Linked DNA regions of Caenorhabditis elegans. The protein of the gene in region 1 interacts with the protein of each later gene in a pairwise test. Each region holds a gene or a part of one and is shown in the gene's direction. Other genes may lie near its edges.

Region 1 (9,128 bases):
AACATCGAATACAGCCGCAGTTCCAGAACATCTTCCCAGGGGTTCTTCATCTGAAAATTTTCAATTCTCATAAAATCCAAAAAAATGAAGCCTCTCTGAACCTTTTTCTCCATTTAGCCTAGGAATATCATTGAACATTTTTAACAGATGGCTCTCCACAGGAACAATATACACATTTCCAGTTGATGGAACAACTCGACATCCTGGTTTCGCAAGTCTTTCAAGAGCTTCTTTGAATGTTCTCAGAGCTCCTTCTCCAATTAATTCTGTGTCAAATACCTCTGCTACAATGATATCTGCACGTGAACCACCAATTTGTGAAACATCAGTAGATCTCTCAGAAATTACAGTAATCTTATCTGACCATGGACTATTGCTTGTTATATGTCTTGCACAATCTCCCATTGGTTTGAAAACTTCCAATGCAGTCACTTTATCAGCTCCTTCTCGAGCAGCCATTAGTGAAAGAAGTCCAGTTCCAGTACCTGTAAATAGTAAACTTTAAAAACCGAATAAGTTGAAAACTTAACAGCTAACCAATATCTAAAACATGAACTTTCCCATCTGTATTTTCATGTTTTTTCTCAGCAATCGTAGTTTTTAATCCTGCGAGGAACTTGTCATTTCTATCAAAATCCAGAATCATATCTCCAAATCGACTTCTGAAAATTAACGTTTTAAAGCAAGAAAATGCGAGAAGTATTGTTTATTAAATTTTATTTCTATGCGGAATATTTTTTTAAAGTTGAAAACCTGGCAAGTTCCTGAGCCATATCATAATCCTCTTCAGCCACAACCCATTCTCGTTCGCCGGTTTTTTGATTTATCTTCTCAAGGAACATTTTTCAGAAAACCCTGCAAATTGTCTATCTTAAAGATATGCTCGTTTTAATGATACACTCAAGATATTTGCGATATGCACACAACTGCCAATTTACCACTTTAAAATCCAAAGAAACGAAATCAAGGAACGGAAGACTTATTTTTCATATTTGTTCAAATAAAAGGGGTTCATGCAATAAAAATAGTGCAATCAATTGGGAAATTGGGAAACTATACACAAAAATGTAAAAATAAATATGAAATAAACAGGAGCCAGAAAATGGAAATCAATGGGAAAGAAGTGGTGATGGGGACAAAGTACACAATTTCGAAAAATACCGCATTTTGGTGGAGGGATGGAAACAATATTTTGATGGGCCGAGATTAAATTGGAAAAAAGCTTCTAAAAACTCACTTTTTGAAAACTAAATATCTCAAAAGATCAGAAAGCGTTACTCATTTTTTGTTATGTAAAAATATGATAAGAAAACATTATCATTTTTTAAAAGTTTCCTTCTGTTTATTGAAACAGACAGCGTTAAAACTATAACTCTGGGTATTTTGAGATTTTTCTCGTGAGCGGAGAATTTAGAAACATTTTAAAATTTAAGCGGTACGAATTTTGCCAGGCACGTAGTTTTTGTCAATAGTTGGCTCCTGGAGGAAAATATGGAGAGAGCGTTCGTTTTGAGCAAGTGGATGTCCAGCAACCCTGCAAGAACATATTATTAAAACTTTTAGAAATGTGAAAATTTTCTGAGTTCATTTTGATGTCCGTATAGTTGAACAGTTTTACGTACTTATTGATGAATAACTCGAGAGCTTTGCGCCTATTTTCAATGAATTCCTCTTCAAAAATTCCATCATCGGATCGGAATGGCAGTTGCCGTTTGAATGATTTTCCTGGCAACGTTGGAACCACAATCTTGCTATCTCGCTCTAGTTCAGCACGAACCCATTCGAAATCACTGTATCGGCGACGCACGCTTGATTCTTTCTGCTTGAAAACGGGGAGATTCGACTGAAACAACGATTTTATTATGCGGTCAGTGTTAATCTATACTTACTCTCATTCTGATTTCGTAATCCGTGTAGCGCATTTTTCCAACACCATGAGTGATAGGATTGATAACCTGCAAGTTATCTTGATCTAATTCATTGATTTTTATTCAAACCTCAATTTCAAGGAAGTTGGCCGGCGGGGCATATGCCTCGTCCAGCGTTTGCCGTTTTGAAGGGATCCGCTGAGTTGCCGACGCGCCGGATGCCATTTGCACTGCAAATATTCTAAATTATATCAAAGTTGCTTTGAATTGTTTATTTAAGTATCGATTTTCACAATATAAACAAAATAAAAGTGAAATTTATGTTGGAATCCAAAGCTTTAATCGACAACATGCGAGAACATCGTTTGCTTTTTGTTTCGCTGTTCGGCAAACTAAAATGGAAAAAATAATATGAAGCTGTGAAAAATCAATAAATAAAACTGGAATTTCAAGGAAATTACGGCAAAAATGACTCATCGCGCGCCGATAAACAAAACGAATCAAGAAATGAAAAAAGTGGCAAAAGTACGCAAACACTTTTGTGTTAATGCACACAAAAAATTCAACCGTACCTCAAACTGAAATTTCAAAAGCAGACACCGCAGATTCATGGAATGAAAAAGCAGTGACTCGCTATGACTCAAAATTTTAAAAAGATTATAATTGATTCAAAAGCAAAAAAATGTTTCACAACAAATCTATGTTGTAAAATAATTGTTAAATTGAAAATTAATAGCTGACACCGCCCTGTGTCCGTGTTTCGTCTTCTTCGAAACTTTGTTTTCGTTCAAGATGGCGCGGCGCCGTTCTTTTTGAATAAAAAGAGCATTTTAAAAATTTTGTTGAATTTCTGTAAATTCTACTTGTTTATTCAGTTGTTCTGCGAAATTAAAGATTTTCTTAGTTTTCAGGAATGCCAAAAAAAACGTTCGAAAATTTAGAAGATAGTCATGGAAAAGATGTTAATATCCCAGTTGAACTGCCAAAAAGGAAACGAGAAGTTACACCGGAAAATTTGTGAGCTTTTATAAAAAATTCAAATTTTAACACATACCGTATTCCCTCTATTAGTCTTGCATGCAAGACTAATAGAGGAAATACGGTAATAGTCATGCACCCCTATTCTTGCCAGGCCAGCAGTATTTTGTCAAAACTTCAAAATTTTCGCCATTTTTTAGCTAAATTAAATTTTAAACTGTTCAAGTAATTGATAAAACAATAGAAAAGCATGTATTTTGCATGATTTAGACTGTTTCAAGTCAAAATTTTGACGATAAATGGCCAATTTAACAAAGCTATTGGATCTTCGAAAATTAGTCTTGTAGCCTCTAATAGTCTTGCAGTCCCTATTAGTCTTGCACCCCTACGGGTCTATTGAAAATTAGTCTTGCATGCAAGACTAATAGAGGAAATGCGGTATATTATTTTCAGACCTTCCACAAGCTCTACTGCTCCAACACAAAAACGGAAAAGTCTAGGATATTCAGGACGAACGGAGGAACCGAAAAATGTATTAATATTTTTAGTTGCAATGAAATACAATTCGGAACTTAATTGTAATTGTAATTTTTAATGTTTTTCAGATACACAAAACCTTCATTTCCCCTTTTTCTACGTCAGTTTCTCCTTCAAAACAAGGTCTTCGACGACGAAAGAAGGCACTGCCTGCCATAGAACCACCTGTATCTGTAGAAGAAGCAAGTCCATTACGTTTTGTGAATATCGATGTATTCTCTAGACGTATGGCTTCCGAATCATCAGATCACGATGCTATGATTGCGAAGTTGTTGTCGAGAAAGTTTTCAATTCCGATGGAGGGATATATGTGTAAGAAAACATGTAAAAATGTTTATTTTAAACGAGTTTTCAGTATCTGGTCGAAGCCTAGGTCTTGGTGGAAACCGTCGAAAATGTGCTCTATTTGATCCATATCATGAAGGTGCATTGATTCTTTATGCTCCTGAACATCTTAGTGAACACGCACAACTCAAGGAAGATAAGGATCGAAAGGTGAGAATTTTAGCTGCGAGAATCGAAAAAAAAACATGAATAAAAAAAACGACTCAAATATTGCAAAAATATGAATGTCCATTTTATCAAATTTTTCAGGTGCACGTGGTAGCCGATCCGGTTGTTGGAAAAATCCTGCGTCCGCATCAAAGAGATGGTGTTAAATTCATGTGGGATTGTGTGACTGGTATTAATATTCCCGAATTTCATGGATGTATTATGGCTGATGAAATGGGTCTTGGAAAGACACTTCAATGCATTTCTCTACTTTGGACACTTCTACGACAAAGTCCCGATGCGTGTCCAACAGTTTCGAAGAGTATTATCGTTTGTCCAAGTAGTTTGGTGAAAAATTGGGATAAAGAAATCAAAAAGTGGTTGGGAACACGGCTGAATGCGATGCCAGTGGACAGTGGAAAACGAGAACAGATTATTGCTTGTCTCAGTGAGTGAATAAACTTGAAATCTTGAAGAAAATGTTATAAACCCCTGAAATTAAGTTAATTTTCCAACTTCAGATTCATTTATGGCGGATTCAAAAATGCGTTGTGCCATCCCTGTTCTCATTATTTCATATGAAACATTCCGTCTTTATGCGAATATTCTTCATTCTGGAGATGTCGGAATCGTTATTTGTGACGAGGTAGATACTGTATTGTTTTGACTCTATTTAAAACGAGCTTTTCAGGGACATCGACTCAAAAACAGCGAGAATCTGACGTATCAGGCGTTGAGTGGTCTCAAATGTGCTCGAAGAGTCCTGATTTCGGGTACACCTATTCAAAATGACTTGTTAGAGTATTTTAGGTACTATTTGTTCAAAATATTCAATTATTTTTAATTAACTTCAGTTTGGTCAATTTCGTGAATCCCGGACTTTTGGGTACTGCAAGTGAGTTCAGGAAGAAGTTCGAGAATGCTATTCTAAAGTTAGTTATTTTTATTCCCAATTTTTTTAATCCGTGATCTTTTCTAGAGGTCGCGACGCCGACGCAAGTTCAGAAGATCAGAAGAAAGGTGAAGAGAAAACGAAGGAAATGATTTCACTTGTAGAGAAATGCATTATTCGAAGAACATCAGCTCTTTTAACAAAATATCTTCCGGTATGATATGAAAGTTTCTGATTTCTAAATAAAATTATTTAATTTCAGGTTAAATATGAGCACATCATCTGCTGTAAAAACTCAACACTTCAAGAGACACTCTACAATAAACTTATCGAATGTGAAAAACAAAACCGCATTGTCGAAAAGGACAAGGTATTTTGTTTGAAAATTCAAAAAATACAAATAAATTGTTTTTAGGGTGCCACCGCATCTGCTCTTTCGTTTATCACTCATCTCAAAAAGCTTTGCAATCATCCATATTTGGTTTATGATGAGTTTCAAAAACCTGATAATAGGTTCAGAAACAGTGAGTTTAGAATTTCAGATTTATAAAAATGTATTCAAAATCAAGAAAAAATCGGAGCATTTAAAATCGGAAAAAAAAGTTCAAAATTTAACTATAAATTTCAATGTTTCGTAAAGCTTTGTTTATGCTGATGAAAAAAAAAAGAAAACGTATAATATTCTTCAGAAAAAACCAAAATTTTAAGATATTTTTCGAAAATTCAAAAAAATTTTTAATATCGGAAAAACAAAAAAAAGGTTTCGATTTACGATTTTAGTGAAAAATCGAAAAACCGACACCGTTTTTCACAAACTTCTGAAAATAATTTTCAGAATGTCTATCCATATTCCCTGAATCATTTAACCCGAAATCATTTGATCCATCGTTTTCTGGAAAAATGAAAGTTCTCGATTATATTCTCGCAGTCACTCGCAAAACAACTGATGACAAGTTTGTTCTCGTATCAAACTACACACAGACAATTGATCAATTTATGGAGGTAAGCGAATTTCCAAAAAAAAAATGATTTATGATAAAAATCTAGACCGACTTAAATGTGGAGTTCGCTTCAAAAAATCATAAATAGTCTCAAATTCAGAAAATTCACAACGGAGAAAACGAAAAAAAAAGTCAACTTTAAAAAATCAATTTTCCATGTTCGGCTAAATGTTCTGTTTGAATTTCCTTCAAAATGAGAAGCCCACTTTCCAAAAAAACAAGGAATTTAAAATGTCGATTTGTTTTTTTTTTCGCGATTTGTTTGCTTTCTTTTGTGGGTTTTTTGGAATGTATGACTATTTTGGATTTTTTGAAGCAAATTCACCACCTTTAAAATCTAGACCGACTTATAACGTGGTCACTTAAACTTTGAAACTTCTTCACTTTTCAGCTGTGCAAACTTCGTGGCTATGATTTCGTGCGCCTTGATGGTTCAATGTCAATCAAACAACGTTCCAAGATTGTCGATACATTCAATGATCCAGCCAGCACTATCTTCTGTTTCCTTCTTTCTTCGAAAGCTGGTGGATGTGGTCTAAATCTTATTGGAGCCAATCGATTAGTTATGTTTGATCCGGATTGGAATCCAGCGAATGACGATCAAGCAATGGCGAGAGTTTGGAGAGATGGACAGAAGAAAATGTGTTTCATCTATAGACTTTTAGCAACTGGATCAATTGAAGAGAAAATGTTTCAACGTCAGACACATAAAAAAGCATTGTCATCGTGTGTGGTAAGATTTCCTCTTGTTCATATAATCTAAAAATGTTCTAAAGACTACTAGAACTAAAATGTTAAATTTTGCGATTTTGTCAAAAAATTCGGTTCCCCGCTTCGACTTTTCTCAAATGCAAATGAGTGTGCGCCTTTCAGGAGTACTGTAGTTCTCAATTCCTCGTTATCGTGAAACTTTTTTTTAATTTTTTGCTATTTCTTTTTCGCCTTTTCAAATACTGTATTACATGTATCTTAATTTGCTGAAAATTCTGAAAAAAAACCTAGAACCACGGTACTCTTTAAAGGCGCTCGCCATTTTTAATTGAAAAATTGGTCGTGTCGAGACGCGGTAACTAACTTAATTTTAGAGTGAAAATTGCAGATTATTATGTGGTTATTATTATCAGTATCTGGGTATTTAATAGTTATCTTAAAAATTTCAGGTTGATGCGGGTGAAGACGTAGCTCGTCATTTTAGTTCCGAGCAACTTCGAGAACTCTTCAAGTTGGAATCAACAGTGGCATCGGATACACATGAAAAGTAAGTATCAGAATGAAAATAATATTTTTTATAAAACCGATTTTATTTTTGGTGAATTTTTCTTCTGATAGTTATAATAATGTTATGCATTATAATGTACAATTGTATAAATTTCTTTCAGATTAAAATGTAAAAGATGTATTCAAGGAGTTGAAAGTGTTGATCCACCAACCAATGCGGACTGTGCAAGTGATTTATCGAATTGGTTTCATTCTCAGAAATCAGCTAGAAAAGTTTGTATTTATTATCTTTATTTTTAAATATTTTAATTTTCAGGTGGCTGATAATGTGCTCCGAGCCGTCTTCGAATGTGGATCGATCTCCTTTGTTTTTCATCAGAAATCGCACAACGTAGGTTTAAAAAAACTACGTCTATGGTGCCAAAATTACCAAATATAATAGTAAAATGTTTCAAAAAAAAGTGGAAATCAAAAAGTGACAATTGCTCAGTTTTTGTCACTCAAAATTTTGGAAGTCGACTAAAACAATTTTCCAAAACCGACTGGATTTTTTTTTTGGAAATTCTTTCGAATTCTAGTTGTGTAGTTTATTTTTCTAATTCTGTAATTTTTAAATTGTCTGTGATATATAATTTAGAATCATTGAATTAATATTTCCATGCTTCAAAATAGCGTTTTGCAGGTTGAAGTCAAGAAAGTTCAGGAAAAAGTTGAAGAAGTTGATGAGGACTACGTGCCTTCTGAAGCCGAAGAAAACGACGATTAGTTAAATGTTTCCAAGTTGAAACAAATCTAGAAGTCTCCCTATTTCATAACATAGACTATCTATGCGATGAAAACGGGACATGTTATATTGTTTTGTTATTTATTTAATTTGTTTCTTTCAATTTTTGTTCCAAGTCATCCCAATATCATTTTTATCGCCCGATCTCATGTAAAATACACCGCCTGCAATATGAATTTTCAATTTATTTTTCAAATTCAGACAAAAAAAAGACAAACTTTGATCAAATTGTGGGTGGGTTGGAAACGAAAGGGGTAGTTGGTAGTTTTTTTTTGCACAAAAATACATTGATACGATGTACAAATTTTCAGAAAAAAAATTCATGAAAAATGTTGAGAAAGAGGAAAAAATTATGCAAAAAAAGACATTATTTTGTAATTTGAGGGAAGAAATTATGCCTATTATTATAATAAAAACTTTAAATTTTCCGGGAAAGGTCAGGCGCCAACAGGTATGAAATGAATATATTATATTTTTTGAGCTTTGATGATGTAAATAAAACGGAAATGTTGATTATCGATCGATTTTTTTTTCAAATTTGAAAAATCAAAATCGACAATCTTCGACTTAGACAATAAATATGCAAAATGTCGCAAAAAATTCAATTTTTTGGGGGAATATTTTGGTCAGAATCAGTTCACTTTTTACAGGTTTGAGTTAACCTATTTGAGGTAATTGACTAGAAGAAATTTTTTTAAAAATATGGAAAAGTTACAAAACTACTAGGCGATTTTACAACTATTTAAATTTAAAATTTGAAGAAAACACTTTTTTGTGGCTTTAAGAATGGAAGACACCAGATGGAGATGAAGCCAAGCAATGTCTGCACCTGTAAAATGTTTGGGTTACTGTAAGGTTACTGTAGCTATGAAGTTCTACATTTTTAAGGTGGTGTAGAGTAAATGGAAAGTTCGCTTTTAAAATATCCAGAAGAAAATCAGTACAAATGAAAAATACCTAACTCTAAAAATTGGGAATGAATTTCCTCCAATAGGAAACGCCACGCCCACTTCTAATTTCATTAGTGCAAAAGTGGGCGGGGCGATTCGCTGATTGGTCTTGCAGTTCTTATTTTTCGAGGAAGTTTCAAGATATTTTTTTTTTTAATCATAATTTGAAAATCGAGTAAATTTTTTTTTGTTTTTGTTTTTTTACTTTTTGGAAATTCAGACTAGTTTGGGTATTTTAAAGAAAAATTCCCACAATACTACACCTCAAAAGCAATTTAATTTTTTAAAAAGATTATTAAACGCTATTAGCGTACACTAGATTGTTCAAAAATTAATTTTCTGAAAAAATATTATTTTCCAATGCATTGGGAAGAAGACTCGTAATTTTTACTCAATTTTTCCTTTAAA
Region 2 (6,458 bases), on another chromosome or scaffold:
TTAATAAGCGTTATAAACATGGTAACATTTTAAGACGTTTTCAAAATAAAAATTTTGAAAAAAAAAATTTCAAACTTTCTGGTCAAAGTAATGTTAAAATTTTCAATTCGAAAATTTATTCGAAATTTTTTTGGAATTTTTTTTGAATCACTGGCACATAAATTAAGATGATTGAATTGACTATTTGCATAGTTGGGTATAAAATTACAATCAGTCAGTTCTGTCTCATAAATTGAAAAGTTTGAGGACAAAGAAAGAATCCTATTGAAAGAGGTGATATTGCCCAGTAAATACATAATTTGGTCAAAATATTTGTACATAACCATGTAAATGACCTATTAAAACATCTCCATTCCAGTAATTCAAAAAAAAATCCAAAAAAATTTAGAAACATAATACAGGAAATAGAAGGAGTTCAAAAAGATTTTCTGAACTTTTCAGAAAGTAGGCTAAAATACGGAATTGGATCATTAGAAGAAAAGACAAAAAGTTTGAAAGGAAACTAATTGGTGGAGAAATTAATATTAATCAAAAACATTTTTTCAAATTCACAACTTCTGATCGCACTAGTAACCGGCTCACTTATAGATGGAAAACCTCTAGATCTAAACTTCGATCCCAATTGTTCACTCATCATGTGTTGAGTTTAATTTTAAGCCCAAATGAAATCAATTACCCTAGTTAGTTACAATTCTCATGCAAAGATTTTATTAACAAATTTCACTTCTTTATGTAGTTTATCAGTAGATACACATGTGTTTCGCGGTTTTTTAAATATTTATGGAATGTAGTTGAGGCATCAGCAATATGATGAAGCAAATATTTTGCACTAAAAGTCGCAATTAGCAATATATTGCTAGAATGTTGGTGGTCCCGCAGCGAGATTAGCGATTTGCAAATTGCATCTAAAATACTGGTGGCCATAAGTATTTTATAACGGCGAATCACCTGTGTCATAGCCTTTCTAAATTATTTGCACTTTCATCATAATTTTTTTTCTTGCGATTCTCTCCATTTTCCGTTCAATGAACGATTTAATACGCATGTTCAATAATAATAAAATTTATCCGAGAGGAGTACAGAAGAAAATTAACATCGCTGCGAGACCAATCGCTACAGTACTCAATGTCGATTTACGGAGGAAACATGTTTTGATTTCTCATTGTTTCTTTTGTCATTTTTTGTCATTTTAGTTTTAAAACTTAATTATCCTCTAATGATTTGCGCGGTTTTTTATTAAATTTTTGATTATTCTCGTAGCTTTTGAGTTAAACTAATTAAAAGTCTTCAGCTATGCTAAATTTTGCTTCCTTTTCTTGAATGAAAACCTAAAATGAACAAAATTTTTTGTCATTAAATAACAACGCTTCGGTTAACGCTTGAAATTGATATTCGGAAAATAAAAAGCCTGATTTTTGTTCGATTTCTGAAATATATTTCATGCTTTACCCGTTTTTAATTGCGAACAATTCTAAATTTGAAATATAATTTTCAATCAACGAAAAACAATTTTCAAGATAAAAAATTATTATATAAATTTAAGCTAAGTATTAATAAATTAATAAGTAATAGTATTCAAAAATCATAGAATCTTGCAAGAAAAAATGTTTTAAAGATTTAATAGTTCGAGTGATTGAAAAACGAATAGTACTTTAAAAAATAATGCTTTAAGGCAGAAAAGTGATATAAAAATTAAGCTCAAAAGGGCAAAAGATAAGGTTAATGTCCAGTTTTGGTTTTAAAATGGTTCGGACACAATGTACATAGTAGACATTTGGGTGTCCTCTTCCTTCTCTTTTCCCCATTGCGTCCACTGACCCTCCTTGCTGTATGTCTGCGCATCGTCTTTTTCTACACTTTTTCCTTTTCCCTGGCCCGTTCCTATCGGTGCCTTTCACACACGCGAGCGGCAGTGGACGAGACGGGAGGGCGAGGTGTTGAACAAGAGTACAGCAAGTGCGCGCCATCGAAAAAGCGGAAAAAAAAATTTCAAATGGCGCTACTTTGAAAATTGAGAATTCTGTATTTACTGCCAGTTTTACTTGCATTTAAATTTCCATGTTTTCTATTCTAAAACGAAAATCTATCTAAGAAAACCCTTAATAAAAACCTATAAATCATAAATTGTGATTCTTAAATTCGAAAATATGTTCGTTCAACTTGACGCCTAGAAATATGTGGACTTAATCCTGTTATAAATCAGTAGTTGACGACAAAAATAGTAGAGCAGCAAAAGCAGTTCTAACTTGTGAAAAACATGAAAGTTCTTGTTTTCGTCAAGCGAACGGGGGCTCGAGGAAGGACTTGGCACGTGTCTCTAGGCCATGTTTTTCTCAATTTTTGTTGCTCTAGAGAAAGCTTTTGCTATTGATTATGGGACAATCTTGGGGATATGAAGGTAACATTTTAAAAATAAGTTTAGGTAAATGTGTAGCATAATTTTTGAAAAAAAAAGCTCCACTGTTAAAAATGCCGATTTTAGGGATTGCGAAACGTTCACTATGTACACATAAATGGCTATATAATTTGAATTTGCATTCAATAAATCTTTTCCTTCCAATTGTATGTTTTAACTTAAAAATAATTAATTAAAATTATCTCAGGAGTCAAAAATGTCAGCTCAAGCAAGTCGTCAAAAGAAATCGGATCAAGAGCAGCGTGCAGCTGATCAAGCTTTGCTCAATGCAGCAATCGAGGATAATGCGATGGAGCAAGATGAAAACTTCACAGTTATCGATAAACTTGAGTCTTCAGGAATCAGTTCTGGCGATATTTCAAAACTAAAAGAAGCTGGATACTATACATACGAATCGCTGGCATTTACTACAAGACGCGAACTCCGAAATGTCAAAGGAATTAGTGATCAGAAAGCTGAAAAGATAATGGTGAGCATATCAAAAAATCAGCTTATTCGAGAATTAAAGAAAAAAACTAAAAATTCTGTGGCTTTATTTTTCAAAATCCAATTAATTGAATTGAAAGTATCAGAAAAGTTGATACATTTTTCGAGGTTAGCTCCGAAAAAGAATGAAACGATCAGCTGCAAGGTCAGTTTTGACGGCAAATCGACCAGCTGTGAACATGTAGACATCGGCCTCATATTTCAATGATTTAATTTCAGAAAGAAGCCATGAAATTCGTGCAGATGGGATTCACGACGGGAGCCGAGGTTCATGTGAAGCGAAGCCAGCTGGTGCAGATCAGAACTGGATCTGCTTCACTTGACAGACTGTTGGGTGGCGGTATCGAAACAGGCAGTATCACTGAGGTGAGTTTATCACGGATAAACTGACAACAGTACTCAATAAAACATTTATTTCAGGTTTACGGAGAATATAGAACAGGAAAAACTCAGCTTTGCCACAGTCTGGCAGTCTTGTGTCAATTGCCGATTGATATGGGAGGTGGTGAGGGAAAATGTATGTATATTGATACCAATGCCACTTTTCGACCCGAACGAATTATTGCTATCGCTCAGAGGTTTGTGATTGAGAATTATTCTTAAAAATCCTGAATTTGTCATAATTTGATCTCCCGACTTGAAAATTTAAAAAAAAATTAAAATTTATTTCGAGAAATCAGTAACATATTTTCTCAGTCTGAAAATAGCTGTTATTTTTGCTTGAACAATTGAAAAGGCCAAAAATGGTCTGCAAGTTGGAAATTGCCGTAAATGAACTTTCAGAGATGTTCCGGGTCTTTTTTTGGCGAATTTCAACTTGCAGGCAATTTTTTAGCCTTTTCCTTATTGTTTCAACAAATATAAGTTTTTTTTTTCAGATAAAGTAAATATTTCTCTATATTCTATCACTAAGTTTGAAATAAAAACGTTTGGAGAACAAGTCGCAATGGCTCATTTTGTACAATTACTGGTTTACGCCACATGGCTTGAATTTTGGCATTTGAGAATTTACCTTATTATGGATCTTGTAGCATTTTTTTGAATATCGAAGTAATTTCTTGCAGATACAATATGGACAGTGCTCATGTACTCGAGAATATCGCTGTTGCACGTGCATACAACTCAGAACATTTGATGGCTTTGATTATTCGAGCAGGTAAATCTAAATTTCAAAAAATAAAAAAATAAACTTTTTCGTGCCATAGGAGCAATGATGTCCGAGAGTCGTTATGCTGTTGTGATTGTTGACTGTGCAACTGCTCATTTCCGTAACGAATACACTGGAAGAGGAGATCTAGCGGAACGTCAGATGAAGCTCTCTGCTTTTCTGAAATGCCTTGCCAAGCTTGCCGATGAATATGGTGTCGCTGTAATTATTACCAATCAAGTTGTAGCACAAGTCGACGGAGGAGCCTCGATGTTCCAGGCTGATGCTAAAAAGCCCATTGGAGGTCACATCATCGCTCACATGTCTACTACCAGGTAAACATAGTTGGAGGTTTTCTGAAGATTTTGAACAAATAGAGAACATATTTAATTTTTTTATTAAACATTACATGTGGTCTTTTTGAGGATTTTTTAAAGAAGAAAAATTAAGTTATTCATATTTTCAGATTGTACCTTCGAAAAGGAAAAGGAGAGAATCGCGTCGCAAAAATGGTTCAATCACCCAATTTACCAGAAGCCGAAGCGACCTACTCAATCACGAATCATGGTATTGAGGACGCACGCGAGGACTAGCCGTTCGTTTTTCTTTTTCTTATCAAACTTCATCATTCATATCCCGATAAATATATCACATTTCTGTTTCTCTCCACACTTTCACGGATTCATCATGTTTATTTGGGTCGTTTTTAAATCTAGCGTTCTATGTTCTCTATGAAAAGTTTTCGCCTGCCCCTCATGTTTCACTATTCCGTTACATTCCTTTTTTGTATCTGTATTATATATAGGTTTGTGCATCTCTCTCTCTCTCTTTTGTTTTACCCGTCGTTTTGTATGAATCGTATAGTTGAACTGATTATGTCAGTATTGATAAGCTAATGTTCTTTTTAATTTATAAAGGTTTTCGAAACCTTTAATACTGTATTTTAAAAATGCGTGTTCATCATGTTAACCTAGCAATAATTCCAGATCCAACTAACTGAAATGGACATTGAAGCGGCCAAGAATGAGGTAAGATGATTATCTCTAATTTGCCTATTCGCAAAATGTGGAGTGGAATTTTTGCTTTGTAAAATTCCGGCAACAACAAAAAACCTTGAAAATTGCCTGAAAATACCCAACTGTCCGTACTTATGCTCTCAAAAGCGATTCTTATTATGCAATACCGACGGTCACAGCACATTTGCTGAACAGCTGTGTGACCCTTGCCTGTTGTCATCGTCTCATTCAAATTACTCAACATGATCTTGCCCTCTTTTGATCTTTACTATTCTTATTTAGGTTTTGAAATTTATTGTTAATATTTGTACGTCAGAGATGACTAATTGGCTCCTGATAAGAAAGTTCACTTATTTATGATATACTAGTTTATTTTTAACTGTATATCGTGTTGAGCCAAAAATTTATTTTCTGATTCTACATTTTCCGCTTTAGTATGGTAGATCGAGACATTTTATATGTTTTCCTTTTGCTCTTTCACTGCTCGAAATATATTTTGTGCAATGCCAGACTTCTAAAATCATCTATTCATTTTTTATCATGCAAAATTAAGAATACAGAACGAACAACAATTTCACTTATTTTTGTTCTATATCTCCCCGCCCTTCGTCCCTCCATTTTCTCCGTTCGTTCCGTTCGGACACCAACTTCTATATTCATCTGCAATGGCAAAAGGCGGTCGTAGACGGCGACCGGTTCCGCAACGCTCATCTCAAAACGCGGAAAAGCTGACTGCAATCCTTTTTCTGTAGCAGGCCATTTTGATGCTTGCTTCTCCCGGGGCCCCCAGTTCTTCCACACTCTGCATACATTTTCGTCTCAATCGGCGCTAGCCAATGATCTAGTAAAAACAAGATGGTTAACTTGTTCTATGCGTTGTTTATGTGATGCCGCATTTAGCTATATATTTTTAGAATCATGAGTGTTTCTTAAACAATAGTTTTTCTAAACTTGTGTTTTCAGATGACTTGCTGCTCGTCCAATTCATCTCTATCAGATTTCAACACTTTGCCCAGATGCCCGAATCGTGTTGGCTCTATCACTGTTATTCTGGGGCCAATGTTCAGTGGCAAAACGTGTGTTTATTTTTAAATTTAGAGTGATCATAACAATATTATTTTCAGCACCGAACTTCTTCGTCTTCATGATCGTCAGATAATTGCAAAAAGAACATGTGTTCTTGTCAAGTATGCAGGAGACACTCGTTACGATGCCGATCTCGTGGCTACTCATAGCAAGTTGGTAGATCAAGCCTAAAACTGTAAAGCATTGAATATCATTTCAGGATGACTGGCCAGGGACGGACTGTCAAGGCTCATCGTCTCTCTGAAGTTCAATCTCAGATCTTCAACGATGAGGTTCAAGTCGTTTCGATTGACGAGGGACAGTTCTT
Region 3 (8,534 bases), on another chromosome or scaffold:
ATTCAACTCTAAATCAACTCTAAAAAGATTAAACTCTAAATATCTACAAAATTTATGAAAAACACGTACCAATAACGGATCATTTTCCGAAAAGTGTACCAAATCCAAGATGTAGTTTCGTTTCGGGTCGAGAAGCATCCATAGTCCAAGAAACACGTGACCGAGAGCAGAAAGCTGAAAGAAAGTTAAAAAATTACTTAACATGTTCAGGCACAAACCCAATAGTATATTGAGAAAATTGAAACAGCTACCCGAAGGCAGCCACCGCCATCACGTTCTGTTGCCATGCACTGCCTGAAATTATTTTTCAGTAAAATGTAAGGTTAAAAAAGAATAAGAAATTACGCTTCAAAAGAACAAAAAGGTGTTAAATATCAGAATATTCAAAAAATGCATCTAACTGTCCCAGAGAAAATAGTAAGAGATACGAGACGTGAAAAGAAAGTAAACATAAGCAGGAAAATCTGAAGAACCAAAATTATGACATTCTACATATAGAATAATGCATTTTGTTAAATTTTTAGCAAGAAAGCGCCATAAATAATTCATTTTCTCCTCAGGTGCAAAAATAAGATTTGAGTATTTTAGAATTTCGTTAGTGAATGAAGCGATCAAACTTTAAACTTTCCGGAAGAAGCAAGATAACTCGGCGGCCACACGCAGCGATTAAAGAATCTATTTGCCGTTTGAAACTCTGGCGGACCGCGTTGCCAACTGATAAATTGAAATCACAGCTGACCATTCAACGAGCCACGCAGCACACGCAAACGAGTAGACCGGAGAGAAAGAGGAAGAGACAGGAGAGCATTTACCTGGCAAACAAATTCTTGACCTCATACTATGCATCATCTCTTCGTTGTGAACAAATAAAGTCGAACGGTGGAATACTGCATTGGCACTAGCCGACAATGTTAAGCGATGGGCAAGGACTCCTGAAAAATGCTACAAGTTATAAAAAATTTGAAATTTAAGCAGAAGTTGGTCTCCTGAAAAAAATAAGTGAAAATTGATAACAAAACAGTATTCAGAATTGGTGAAAAACTGTGCCCTTTCTGAATTCATGCTCACCGGTAGGCATTATTTGGACTAAATTTGGTACATTTCCTTTTTTACCCCAGATTTTTCTGGAACATTTACTTTTAAAAATTTATGCTTAGCAATTTTGTTTTCTAAGCCTTAGAATGAAAATAGTATTAAAATGAACATTCACGTGAGCATAAAATTCGAATAATTCAATGGTTTGAATGTTCTTTTAAAATGCGGGGTAGAAAATGAAAAGTACCCTAAACTTAAATATTCAATTAATTTCGAAAGCCCTCGTGGACTATGAGACTATCATTTTGGAAATAAATTAAATTTCCATTCATTTGTCAAATTCGGTCTATTTCAATTGATCGTGTTTTGCTTTTTTTTTTTCCTTTTTTAAGGCTTAGAAATGGTTGTTTCCGCCTCATGCAAAATCACTTTACTTTTTCCATAATTTGCATTTTAAATATGTTCCAATAATACCCAAGACTAAAACTTTTGAAAATGTGTTTCCTGCTTTAATACAAACATATTTCTACAAAAAATCTGAGCTGGAAGTTTTTTGAGGTTTATGAGTCGCCTTTCCAAAATTCAAAGATTTATTTACAAATCTTCATACTGGTTTAATTACATTCTCGATGTTCGACTAAAACTTCTGTACAATTTTTTTTACTAAGATTATGTTTCAAAAATTTATGTTCCAAAAATGCACCAATGCTCTAATCCTTGACAAAAACTGAATTTCTGGAACCTCAATGATTCCCTAAAACGGTGACTAAAAATCTATAAAAAACCACAATATTATGAAGACTTTTCTTAAATTATCTGGTTTTTTTGCCTATTTTGATCACGTGTAATCTAAATAGTATTTTAAAAATTTCTGAGAACTATCTATTTTTCAGTAATAGATTTTACATATTGATATTTGGCATCAGCTGTTGTTGGTGTTTTTCTCTGAAAATCACTTTATTTCTCATGTGGTTTGATGTAATTACATTTTATTCCACAACAAAATATGGAAAATCTCATGTCAGTATATTTCTTTCAATTTACATGCTGTTTAGAGAGGGCTTTTAGACAGCTTTGACAAGCTTAAGGACGAAACGGAGAAATATATTTTATTATTTTATATTTATTTAGTAGTTTCATTTAATGGCTTCTTATTTTTTATTTTATAAACGACGGGAAAACGCGCAATTTTATTTGTTGTACAATGGTCTTTGTTCACACTAGTTTCTACGTTTTGTACAGTCCTCTTGTTTGAAACGCCAGCATCTGATAATATTCCATTTTCCACTCCACTCATGTGATTGTCGGGAAATTCGAGACCATGTGCTCTTCCTATCATATCAAATCATCTGACTCCAGTTTTTAAAGACTCCAAATTTTCACTACTGATTTATCATTTCCTGTTGATCTAGATACTGCCCAACAAACGCATCTCTTCCTTCTACTCTGCTACTCCCAGATGACGTAGCATCTACCAACAACATACAGCACGGCATTTGATCATTTGTCTTGCGCAAAAACGTCCTTGTCCTCCGTGTTCTCACATAGTGCCCCCCCCCCCCCCACCCCTTCTTCACTCTTCTCATTTTTCCTTGCATCATGTGGACATGCATGGCCAACCCCCACTATAGCGATGAGTGTGCAAACGCGCTCCTCTGATGCCACCGCGAATTTGAATGCGATGGTGTTGTGGCGGTCGTTTGGGAGAACACCTGCCGGCCGTTCTACTCAATCTATTGATTTTTATCCCTCTTTATCCCGTGTTCTGTTTGCAGAGTCTTGTTTACCGGGTAGTTCTCTTCATTATCAATGTCTTTTTTTTTCGATTTAAAATCAAATGTTTCCTTTCATCTAACTCTGTTGTTTTTCAGACTATGAACGCGGGCAAAGAATTCAACTACTACACGTACCAAAGTGACTCGTCGCAAGGCAGTTTGCAAAAGGCTCCCGATGAAAATACTGATTATTTCACACATAAGATGAACAGCTATTTGCCATTTGACATGAGTACACTGTATGCTAATCAGCCGACAGAGAAAATCCAGATTTTACAAGAAATTTATGATACCGAGAGAACCTATGTGAAAGCGCTCACTATCGTCGATGAGGTCAGGATTTAATTATATAAACCAGAATGCCGGTTGCCTAAAAATTGCCGAAATTTGTAACATTCGGTTTGGCAGCCGACAGTAGCCGGTTACCAAAAATTTTGGCGTTTCGCTGCTATTGCCGGTTGCTTTTGGAATCATGCGTTTGCGCTTTTTGATATTCTCATGAAATGATGCTCGAACACTTGCAACCGAGGTACCTGAAAAATCTATGACAAAAATTTGTCAGGTACGACTTACCGAGAACCGTGATTTATAAAACGCATCTATTAAATTGATAGCCATAAGTATCTCAAAAACTTCTAAAAGCTTCTTAAAATCTTTTTTTCCAGATATTCATTCAACAACTTAACTTGTGGTGCCCCAAATCAAAAAAATGCTTCCGATCCATGTTCGGCGAGATATCAGCAATCTGCAAGACTCATCAAATCCTTCTGGAATCCCTTCAGTGCAAGCCGATCGCCGAGGTCTTTACCAAATTTGTACCGTTCCTCAAACTCTATACCAGTTATGCATCCCATTATCCAAATTCGCTGAAAATTTTTGCGGTTAGTTATAACAATAAAATCTATGATACCTTATTATTTTTACTTTCCAGAAACTGATGTCTCGCAACGACTTCCGCAAAGCTCTGACCAAAATTGAGGAAGACCCCAGAGTTGATGGAAAGAAACTCCAGACATACCTCATCATGCCAATTCAACGCATTCCACGCTATATCATGCTCATTCAAAATTTGATGAATTACAGCACTGAGAAAGATGATATGACAAACCTTTACAGTAAGAATTTATTGGAACGATTTTCTTATAGCTACTTTTTTCAGAAGCGTTGTCGGGTATGCAAGGGCTCTCCGATCAGATTCAATCCTGCATGACAGCTTATGAAAATGGAGAACGACTCCTTCAAATCCAACTGAATTTTGGTCTGGATGGGCACATTCTTGAGCCAGGACGCGTATTGTTGAAGGAAGGAATGTTGTACAAGGTAATATACATTTTAGTATCAATCCTAATTTGGTTAATTTCAGAGAGAGCTCAATGGATCAGCCAACTACCAGGAAACCGTGGTCTTCCTGTTCAATGATATTCTTCTTTACGGAATCAAGAGAATCAGTGTGATGCCACTCTGCAAATACGAGCCGTCTGCAATTCTCTCACTCCGTCACTGCATTGTCCAACTTGATGATATAGGAGGGAGCATATTTGTATGTGGTTATATTATTATTAAAGACTCGAAAATGGTAACTTCAAATTTCAGATTCGTTGTGGAGACGTCGGTGTGGACTTTACAGCCTACTCACTCGGAGGTGTTACGGAGTGGTACAATGAGATTTGCGATGCTATTGACAACGCAAAGAAGCTTCGTGATACGCTGCGGAAAGAGAGTTTCAAGCAAAAGTCGCTCATCTTTGACAAAGGATTCTGGCAGAGAAATCGAGACAAGCTCCGTAATATGATAACTGCCGATATGACGGGCAACATCAGTCGTGTGTTGACAAGAAAGAAGCCAGCTCCGAAGCTCGAGGAAAGTGATTTTCTTCGTGGACAGTGGACAACTTCCACGATTGCTTCGAATCAACGGAAGCGAAGTACGTTTATGAATATGTTACCCGGTAATTGTTAATTTGTTTTCAGAAGTTGCTACTTTGGAGGATGAAGAAGAAGACGTATTCAACATGCTATCTTCTCCCAATCTATCTCAGCGGAAGCGGAGTATGTTAGAAATATTGAGATTTTGATTAATTTGGATTTTTAGAAGCCACTCTGCAAGAGAACACTCCATCAGGCGTTGGTTGGACAGCCTCCCCAAGAAGTTCGTCTTTTCGAAAACGTAGTGAGTTTTTCAAGGCTTAGTTTTTCAAGTTTTTCGAGGCTTTCAAAGCAATGCGTGAATTTTCAGGAGCGTCTACTCTGAGAAATAAAAATGCAGATGTAACTGACGGCAACAACTACCTCAGCCATCTTGTTCTCAATGATGTCACCATGACACAACCGTACACTGGTCTTAATGCTTTTGTGGGAACTCCAAAGTCGAGAACACCAACTGATGACGATTACGACAGTGATCGGGACTATGTTTGGACTGATGACGAGGAGTTTGTTTCGGACGACAAGAAGATTCCAATCAGACGTGTGGCTAGTTATGATGAAGAGGATCGCCGCCCACGCGATTTCAGCGAGGTTCGTCGCTCTGTGGCTTCGGAACCACCACGTCGCCATCTTGCAGTGGACGACATTCGCAAGTTGAGCTACCAACAGGTTGGTGATTGAAGAGTTAACTAGGGAAGAGACTGAAGGTGCCACCTGATTTTCTGTTGTATATAAATTTCAGACTTCGAAATTTTAGAATTGAGTTTGCGGTGAGCTTGCAAATATGCTCGGAATAAGCGGTGCATTGTGGGTGCTCCGAGGACATGTGTGGTGGTGGTATTTGCCAATTCATATAACTTTCATGACTTTAAAAAAAGTTTGGAAGATGTCTGAATTTTATCAAAATCTGGAATTTTGATCACCAGAAGCATGCAATTTTCAGAAACTCGAAACATATTTTTTAAATTACGAGGGTGATTTTTCCAATAAAAAAATCTGCATGTTACCAATGGTAACTTACCATCATGAACATCCCCAGAGCTCCGATGTTGCTGCTCTTACTCGGCAATTCCCGGCAGCTTCTTCCCCAAGTTTGGGGCTTTCCAGCTTCTTACCCAACTCTTGCCAACTTCTAACCCAGAGTATGCCCAAGTCTTACCCAACTTCAACAATTCTAGTGTAAACTCCCTCGCCCGAGTTTTGCCCAAGTCTTAGCCAAGTCTTGCCAACTTTTTACCCAAGTTTGCAGATGTAAAGAACAAACAAGATTCCGAAATCCTGCATGCGCAATGTTTAGCGTAAATCGACACTTTGTCTTTTGAGTAATTTGTATTTAAAATAGAGGAATTTCGATGTAATTGAAAGAATTCACAGGAAAACTTGTCCCTTCAAAGTCAAATTCTAAATATTTTGCTCTGATGGCTAACATTGTTAAAAAATGTACGAACAAAGTTTGCCTTTTATTTCCTGTGACTGTCTAATAAACCGAATAATTTATCTAAAAATAAAAAGAAAAGTTATCTTCAGGATGATTCTTCTCCTAGTCAGTCCAATAGTCAAATAATAGTCAGTCAATCCAATGCATCAACTTTTGAATTTTTCTAAGACTAAAATGTTCCTTTGAAATGTAAACTTTTATAAAATTGAAAGACATGAAACAAACATGAATTACAGTAATTTTGTAAATTCTGTACTTAGAATCATTAGGGAGCACACTTGAAAACAAATGAAATAAGGTATGTGGGAATACCGTATTAATCCGATGTGTCTGATACTTCCTCAAAAATATCTATCAGAATATGAGTACGATATATTATTAGTGTGCATCTTTTCGCGCGACCATCATGGCTCAGCAGGTAAGACTTCGGAACAACAGGAAATGCGATCAAAGTTCAACACACACGTATAAATTGGGTAAGAAATAGGCAAAACTTGGGTAAGACTTGGGCGACGCCTCGAGACGACGAGGCAGTCCACGACTTTTTTTATTTATGAGGCGCCCAACTCTTGCCCAAGGTTTACCCAAGCCTTGGCAACTCCTTATAAATGTTTTTATTTTTTGGGCAAGGCTTGGGTAAGAAGTTGCGAAGCCTTGGGTAGGAAACTGGCGGCAAACGCCGAGTACTCATCGCAAACTCAATTATAAAATTCCCTGCTTAAAATCCATATTTAACAATTTCTAATTATGGTATTTCAAATAAAACATGTCTAGTTCAAAAGCCCGGTGGAACCTTTACATTAGACCCTTTCTCAATAAATTAGAAAAACTAATACAAGCTAACAAAAAATGATTTTCAGCGTTCTCTGGAGCCATTCAACATGGTCACTGAGGACGATGATGAGGACGACATCATTGATATCAAAGTCAAAGGAGAGCGTCCACGTCCGTGGTGGGAGACCGAATCAGCACCACCGGCTATTAAAAATCAAAAGTCTTCAATAATTGATTCAATCAGAAATAGTTGCGCAATTATGTAATTTTTCCTCTTTTTTTTAAATTTTCAGCTATTTTGGTCCATCTATTTGTATGTTTTCATCTCATGATCGTTGATCTCTGCATTGTGTCGTTCCTATTTTTTCTACACATTTTCTCCCCATTTTTCCCTTAAAAATTTATGTTTTCGTGAAATATCTCTCCCCAGAAACTGTTCAGACTGTTCACTATGTTATCAATAAACAGCTATTGATACTTCTTTTGAAACATGTTTTCAGGTACCTACCAACAATTTTTGATGAAATGAGTCATGAATCACAAGAAGCATTTTGTTCTGCAAATTGATAGGCTGGAAAAGAGAACAGAAGCCTACAATGAACAAATAGATATAATTGTTTGACGCTGGAATCTTTATTACCGGGTAGGGTAGGATCTGCTACAATTCTACAATTAACGACGTGTTTTCCAACGACGCTCCATGCTAATTGCACAGCTCTTTTCCATGTAATGTCCCATCCTGAAAAGTCATAAAGTCGTTTCCTTCAAATTAAACATCCAATTGCTCTGAGCTTTCATTGCCCCTGTTTTGCTCATTGTGTTGTTAGCATGACGTCTAAAACGGTAAGTTTGAAATAATATTATTTTTTTAACCTTCCCTTTGTCAGAATATGACGTCAAACAAATTTGCATATGACTTCTTTCCATGGTCAAATGACACCAATTCGGTAAGTATTTGATAATTTTTAAAAAGTAATCAATTTTCCAATTTAGTCCCAACAAATTAAGAACATCAAACCGCCACCGAAAAGGAGCAATCGACCGACTAAAAGAACAACTTTCACATCGGAGCAGGTGAAACATTAGAATAATTGACATTTCCAATTATTTTCCACTCAATTTAATATGTTAAGGTCACACTTTTGGAGTTGGAATTTGCAAAGAATGAATACATCTGCAAAGACCGACGCGGCGAGTTGGCTCAAACAATTGAACTCACTGAATGTCAAGTGAAGACCTGGTTTCAGAACCGGAGAACTAAAAAACGAAGGTTTATTTGATCAAAAAAATTTTTAAAAATAAACGTTTTTATTAGTAATGGTCGAAGCAAGTTTAAATGTTTTTTTTTTTAATTTTCATGTTAAAATTGTTGGTACATCCCAGTTTTGAAATTTATCCGCTAAAAAATTTTCACAGTAGAATTGATGAAAAAAAGGCGAAACCTATAATTTTTGCATTTTTCAAAATTTTGAACAGAAATTCGTTGACTGACATATCCTTTATTTTGAGAAAGCCTGAAAACCTATATTAGAAGTTGAATCTGAAACTCTACGTTCAACAAGCTTGCCTCACAACATAGGCTTAAAA
Region 4 (5,666 bases), 4.9 Mb from region 1:
ACAAGAAGTACTGTACCACCAGGCTGATAGACTCCTTCGATAAGTTGCTTTGTTCCGTAGGCTTTGGCTTCTTTTCTTTTCATAAGCATCGGCACATTGAGAATATCAGATACAAGCTAAAAACATTGAGTCTCATTTTTTAGTGTGAATTATTTCTGAAAACTGACGGTAGCAAGTGGAAGGGCAGCATATGGTACTCCAACAACATAATCGAATTTGAGGTTTGAGGCGACAATTTTCTCACACATAGCTTGAGCAGCCATTCGGAGCACACGAGGAGAGCTCATTATTCTGCGAAGATCTATGTAGATTGGAGTCATCTGGCCAGATTTGAGGTAGAACTCCCCAGTGCGAAAACATTCCATTTGATAGAGATTCTCGAAAAAATCAGTTTCCTGGATTGGTGAAGCGGCCTGGACTTTCATGACGACTGGATCCTCGATTGAGTGATTTCCGTTGGCGGTAGCGGTGGCGGCGGTCATTCTGAATTTTTAACAATTTTCGAATATCAATGTGAAACAGGTTATTTTCTTTCAATAGAAAAGTGAACAAATATCACTTGGTCAGATGAACCAGGTACGTGATTTGAAGGAAGAAAAATAAATAAATAAAAATGTGATATTCATGAAACAAAACAAATCAATTCAACTTTAAGAAAACAAAAATCACTCTATAAATCCTAAAACTGTACAGAAGAATCGAGAAAACAGACAACGCAAAGTACGAAAAGATAGCCTCGTTTGATAACACTATCATAAGGAGGTGTGGCCAAAAGTGCATTGTCGGCGATCTTCGACCCGTAAATTTAAGTCGATTACGAATTTCATGTCTAGGGCCTTGGCGGAGCAATTGGGTAACTCTTCGGGATACTCTTCCACTCCTTTTCAGTACGTTTGTAGATCATCTGTCGCGTGAAATGACCCATCTTTTGATTTTCTCTCAAATCCTTGACTGCTTGACGTTCGGCAGGAGATTTGAGGATTTCTTCCAGATTGCATTCAACCTTTGGAGCCGGCAGTGTGTCCACTTGAATTAGATCGACTTGAACCTGAAAAAATATGGTTCAGATTTTTGTAATGACCAAAAAGTGACAAATTAATTTAGAAAAAGAACAAAACAACATTCGAAATGAATCTAAACAAAGAAAACTTTTAAACAATAAGACCCGATCATACATCAACATCAGATAATATATAATGAAATTTAACTAACTCACCGTGTCCAGGTCATGTGTCAAAATAGACTTTGTTTTCTGTCTAGCTTCCCGAGACATGTGCGCCTTGAAGAGGAAGAAACTGCAAAGAACAAACAATTTTTTTAAGATATATAGTTTTTAAATATTACTTTGAAGCGTAGACGGGCTCATTTGTCTGTTTGGCCAGCCGTTTATACGGTAAATCTCGATGACCCAGTGACTCAACCTTTTCAATTACTGCTCCGTGATCCAGCAAAGTGTTTCCAGCACGCGTTAAAGCTTTAACAAGATCTGCCTGAAATAAAGAATATTCTCATGATTATACACATTCTCACGCTTCATCGTGTTTTTTCTGTACCTTTGACAGAGATCGTGTGATCATGCTCACTTCATAAAACGGCATTGTTGTTCTCGCCCAGTATGAATGCTTTTTCTTCACTGAAAATATTTTCTATGCTACGAATTTGGAAATATGTCAATGAAAATCACGATAAGAAATCACAGCACAAGCTATTTTTCCAAAATAGGAAGTTGCCATTTTTCAACGACAGGCTGTGAACACAAGATTATTAAACAAAAATTTACTAGAACAATAAAATAAATGTTCAATTTTCAATTTTTCGCATTAGAAAGTTAATTTTCCGTCATTGCAATCGAAAAAAGTTAATTTTAAAGTAAAGAACCAGGAAAAATAAAGTGGAAATACGGGATGGGTCTCACCACGGCCAGTGTCGATTTACGGGGAAATTGCATGCGCCTTTAAACGATGATATTTCTTTTTTGAACGGGAAGCGGGAAATTGTCGTTTTTAAGCATTATTTATTTATTTCTTTTCATTTTTTCATTCAAATTATATTCTAGATACGTTTATGGCAGGTTTTTCCGCAATGATTAAGCGTTTCTCACTGTTATGTCGATTATTAACGTGTTAAACTGTTATGTGTTGATTTTTTATTGTGATAAATTTATTTTCGTTTTTTAGAAGAATGGCTCCAACTAACAAAGACGGAGATGTGGCGACTGTCAAAGCTGTAGATGTTCTCAAACAAAAGGCTGGAGCCCATCATTGCCTTGGAAATGTTCATGCAAACCTTCCCGTTAATAAGGTTAGCATACCTGAGCGAGAAAATTCGATTTTAAATAAACACAATTATTTAAGGTGACCGTCCATCCATTGGTTCTTCTGAGTGTTGTTGATCATTTCAATCGTGTCAGCAAAACTCAAAGCGTGAAGCGTGTTGTTGGAGTCCTTTTGGGGTCCATGAAAAAGGACAAAACTCTGGATATTGGAAACAGTTTTGCTGGTATTTTTAAAAATTTATTTGCTTACTTATAAAGTAATTTTCAGTTCCGTTTGATGAAGATGACAAGGATAAAAGTACATGGTTCCTCGACATGGACTATTTGGAGAGCATGTATGGAATGTTCTACAAGGTTGGTGAATTTTGAAATCTCGTTTTTATTTAATTTTAAACAAAAAAAATGAATTTACAGGTTGCCGCCAAGGAAAAAATCGTCGGATGGTATCATACGGGTCCAAAACTTCACAAGGTATATAAGAGGCAAAAAAGAGACGGGGACAACGCGCGTAGTGGTCTAGTGGCTAGCAGGCACACACTCTGCGCCTCCAGCCATTGGTTCGATTTCTCATTCCACTCGGGTTTGTGATGACTGCATACGGATCACTGGGCTCTGAATCTCTATGAACCGATAATATCCGTTCTGATACCCGTTTTTACGGTTTCATGATCGATGGAGCGCGAACTTGTTTAAATTTGAAATTATACTGTGCAAATAACAACAAAGCAAAAAAAAAAAAACTTAAAACAAATCAAATCAAAACTTTTGAAAAAAATCGAAAAAAATGCAGTGGATACCTGACAAAAAAAAAAGAAAAAACCGTGTCACAGTGTTGCGAAATTACGCTCCGCCTTACTTTCTGTGCCACCCTGATTTTTGCAAAATTACGGTGTTCAACTTCAACAGTTTAATTAATTATTTATTTATTAATTTTACAGAACGATATTGCTATCAACGAGCAATTGAAACGATTCTGCCCGAACCCGGTTCTTGTAATTATCGATGCTGAGCCAAAGAACATCGGATTGCCAACAGAGGCTTACATCGAAGTTCAGGAAGTTCACGATGTACGTTTCAAAATACTGTTTAATTTTTTTTCAATATATTGTTTTGTAGGATGGAACTCCACCAATCAAAACCTTCGAGCATGTGCCTTCAGATATCGGAGCCGAAGAAGCTGAGGAAGTTGGAGTCGAGCATCTTTTGAGAGATATCAAGGACCAAACTGCTGGAACTCTTTCACAGCGTATCACCGATCAACTTATGGGCTTGAGAGGACTGCAATCACAGCTTGAATCCATTGAGAAGTATCTTCATGATATTGTGCGCGGAACTCTTCCAGTCAACCATCATGTCATTTACTATGTTCAAGAAGTTCTCAATCTCCTGCCTGACGTCACTCATCCAGACTACATTGTTTCACAGAATGTGCAAACTAATGATCAGCTCATGTGTGTGTATATGGGATCTCTTGTACGATCGGTGGTCGCTTTGCACAACTTAATTGATAACAAGGTGATTTGCAAAGATTTTAAAATTTATTAAAAGCTATGATTTTTAGATCTCTCTCCAGAAGGCTGAAAAGGAGCAGGAAACTGGCGAAGCTGAGAAAAAGAAGGATGAAAAGGATAAGAAAGACAAAAAGGATGAAAAGAAGGATGAGAAAAAGGAAAAGGACAGTAAATCATCAACCCCTAATACTCCAAAGAAGTGATAAACAAACTCAGAACATTGATTGTATCCTCATGTCCACTTCTCCACCAATCTCTTTTTCTTTTACCCTATCGCATCATATACATTTAATTTATTCGGTCTTTTATTTTTCTGTGCATCAATGTAGTATTTTATCCCCGGTATTTAGATCAGTTGCCAATAATTTTTCAGAAGACAAAATCTAATAACTTTATTAGAAAAAATAACAAAGATAACATCCCCGTAAAGCAATGGTAAATATCACGAAGAAAGGCATGGCTTATTAAATTAGGAGTATCCAATGTGGATTTAAAGATCTTTTTGCTGATGCTTGATGTAAATGCCTTCGGCAACTTTCCATGCACTTCCACCAGTGATCGAGTCGGTGCCGACGACCTCCCGTTGTCCATGAATGGGGCGTCCGAATTGTTGTCCCGAGAGTGAGAGGTATGAACCAGTGACAGCGTGGCGAAGTTTGAATTGCTAAAGTGAACAATATAGGGTATTCAAAACGTATAGATAATATCGAAAAGGAATGTAACAAACCTCGGATTCCAACCACTCATCTCCGTTGCAAATCACAGTCCAATCATCTCCCGTGTCACTTTCTGCTTCGCTGCCAAAAGCGGAGACCTCCTTTAAAAAATCAAATTATTCATTTGTTTTCTCGAATTGCCAAACAAACCTGATGTTGTTTGGAGAGAGGTGCAGTGAAATGATGGGAATGCAGGAACGTGCCCGTGGTGAGGTGCTTCAGACGGATCTTGTCTCCGCATTTGATTGCATCTCCACGATTGCATTTTGCGTTCAAAGCTGAAGTAAGAGAATGTTCGGTTTTCTTTGTTCTTTTTTTTCAAAAAGCATTAATATACACAAATTATTATAGTTTAAGTTACTAGGCGTTAACTTCCAAATAACTAACCTGGGAAAATCTGCCAATGAGAATTGATGTCGTCCGAGTTTTTTACAGCAGTCACAGATTGTTGGCCGGACCCGCTTCCGTATTTTACGTCATGCGAATGTAACCTGAAACCTTTTTGTTTCAAACAAAATCTACTTTTTCGAAGGGAAAATGCTCATTTTCTCAGGAGATATTCTTTAATATTTACTGTTGGTGGCAACTATTTATTTAGTGTCATTAACTTTACCGAGTTTCTAATATTAGTGCAAACAATTTTAATAAAGTAAGCTGGCTCACGTACCTAGAGCCATCATTAGCATTTATAAACTTTAAAACGCTGTAGCACGTCACAAAGTCTTCATCGGCGTATGCAAATGAGGCGAAGAATAGAAGTGGAAAACTGAGTAGTAGTGGCAATTTCGGCATTATTTTGGTTCCCTGTAATAATATTCTGTTTTATTATTCCAAACTTTCTAGAATTTCATAGAGAATGTAGCAGAAAAGATTATAAAAAGAGAAGCTCCTGCAAAAATTAAATCAACGTCGCTTTGCACGAGATGTGCGTCAACCAACGTACACCATCGACAATGACGTCAGTAGCCGCTCTTGACGTACTTTGTTCCCAACACCTTGTGGTTCCGCAGTCAATTTTTTAGCTGTTTGGCGGCCAATTGACGCGACACCGCTTATAAAATTTATATCACGAGACCTTCTAATCTATGTTTGTTTGAAATCATAAGGGTCTTATCACTTTCCATTTTAAATTTGTTCTCTTTTGAAAACTTAAACCTTCTACTT

Evidence for each region.
Region 2: the proteins of rad-54.L (region 1) and rad-51 interact in a two-hybrid assay, tested with the Caenorhabditis elegans proteins (3 studies listed by BioGRID).
Region 3: the proteins of rad-54.L (region 1) and tag-52 interact in a two-hybrid assay, tested with the Caenorhabditis elegans proteins (2 studies listed by BioGRID).
Region 4: the proteins of rad-54.L (region 1) and rpn-8 interact in a two-hybrid assay, tested with the Caenorhabditis elegans proteins (2 studies listed by BioGRID).

What each region holds. Positions count from the first base shown.
Region 1 is NC_003279.8:9,062,306-9,071,433, forward strand, and holds rad-54.L (DNA repair and recombination protein RAD54-like), read left to right. Parts: upstream 1-2,773; 5' UTR 2,774-2,781; coding exon 2,782-2,885; intron 2,886-3,299; coding exon 3,300-3,378; intron 3,379-3,451; coding exon 3,452-3,695; intron 3,696-3,738; coding exon 3,739-3,878; intron 3,879-3,977; coding exon 3,978-4,323; intron 4,324-4,396; coding exon 4,397-4,521; intron 4,522-4,566; coding exon 4,567-4,685; intron 4,686-4,729; coding exon 4,730-4,807; intron 4,808-4,854; coding exon 4,855-4,981; intron 4,982-5,029; coding exon 5,030-5,137; intron 5,138-5,182; coding exon 5,183-5,291; intron 5,292-5,602; coding exon 5,603-5,769; intron 5,770-6,159; coding exon 6,160-6,501; intron 6,502-6,928; coding exon 6,929-7,026; intron 7,027-7,147; coding exon 7,148-7,259; intron 7,260-7,302; coding exon 7,303-7,377; intron 7,378-7,668; coding exon 7,669-7,752; 3' UTR 7,753-7,959; downstream 7,960-9,128. Other genes in the region: prmt-7 (Protein arginine N-methyltransferase 7), read right to left, coding at 1-50, 102-485, 538-662, 754-842; snx-3 (Sorting nexin-3), read right to left, coding at 1,429-1,534, 1,623-1,843, 1,890-1,955, 1,998-2,093.
Region 2 is NC_003282.8:10,280,160-10,286,617, reverse strand, and holds rad-51 (DNA repair protein RAD51 homolog), read left to right. Parts: upstream 1-2,373; coding exon 2,374-2,398; intron 2,399-2,482; coding exon 2,483-2,562; intron 2,563-2,603; coding exon 2,604-2,885; intron 2,886-3,121; coding exon 3,122-3,268; intron 3,269-3,322; coding exon 3,323-3,480; intron 3,481-3,966; coding exon 3,967-4,058; intron 4,059-4,107; coding exon 4,108-4,384; intron 4,385-4,515; coding exon 4,516-4,642; 3' UTR 4,643-4,984; downstream 4,985-6,458. Other genes in the region: thk-1 (Thymidine kinase), read left to right, coding at 5,051-5,077, 6,029-6,141, 6,190-6,303, 6,351-6,458.
Region 3 is NC_003284.9:3,672,930-3,681,463, reverse strand, and holds tag-52 (Putative protein tag-52), read left to right. Parts: upstream 1-2,906; 5' UTR 2,907-2,909; coding exon 2,910-3,143; intron 3,144-3,475; coding exon 3,476-3,691; intron 3,692-3,741; coding exon 3,742-3,925; intron 3,926-3,969; coding exon 3,970-4,130; intron 4,131-4,173; coding exon 4,174-4,350; intron 4,351-4,403; coding exon 4,404-4,734; intron 4,735-4,780; coding exon 4,781-4,858; intron 4,859-4,901; coding exon 4,902-4,979; intron 4,980-5,045; coding exon 5,046-5,404; intron 5,405-7,033; coding exon 7,034-7,213; 3' UTR 7,214-7,423; downstream 7,424-8,534. Other genes in the region: tsp-17 (Tetraspanin-17), read right to left, coding at 70-174, 219-287; Homeobox protein ceh-63, read left to right, coding at 7,776-7,790, 7,835-7,894, 7,941-8,021, 8,081-8,217.
Region 4 is NC_003279.8:4,173,142-4,178,807, forward strand, and holds rpn-8 (26S proteasome non-ATPase regulatory subunit 7), read left to right. Parts: upstream 1-2,177; 5' UTR 2,178-2,181; coding exon 2,182-2,301; intron 2,302-2,354; coding exon 2,355-2,499; intron 2,500-2,543; coding exon 2,544-2,629; intron 2,630-2,689; coding exon 2,690-2,746; intron 2,747-2,855; exon of another isoform or gene 2,856-2,923; intron 2,924-3,213; coding exon 3,214-3,342; intron 3,343-3,391; coding exon 3,392-3,790; intron 3,791-3,836; coding exon 3,837-3,989; 3' UTR 3,990-4,130; downstream 4,131-5,666. Other genes in the region: R12E2.11 (Orotate phosphoribosyltransferase), read right to left, coding at 1-116, 168-482; mrps-6 (Small ribosomal subunit protein bS6m), read right to left, coding at 830-1,048, 1,217-1,295, 1,345-1,490, 1,554-1,598; R12E2.13 (MIR domain-containing protein), read right to left, coding at 4,277-4,450, 4,514-4,603, 4,653-4,780, 4,890-4,993, 5,170-5,294.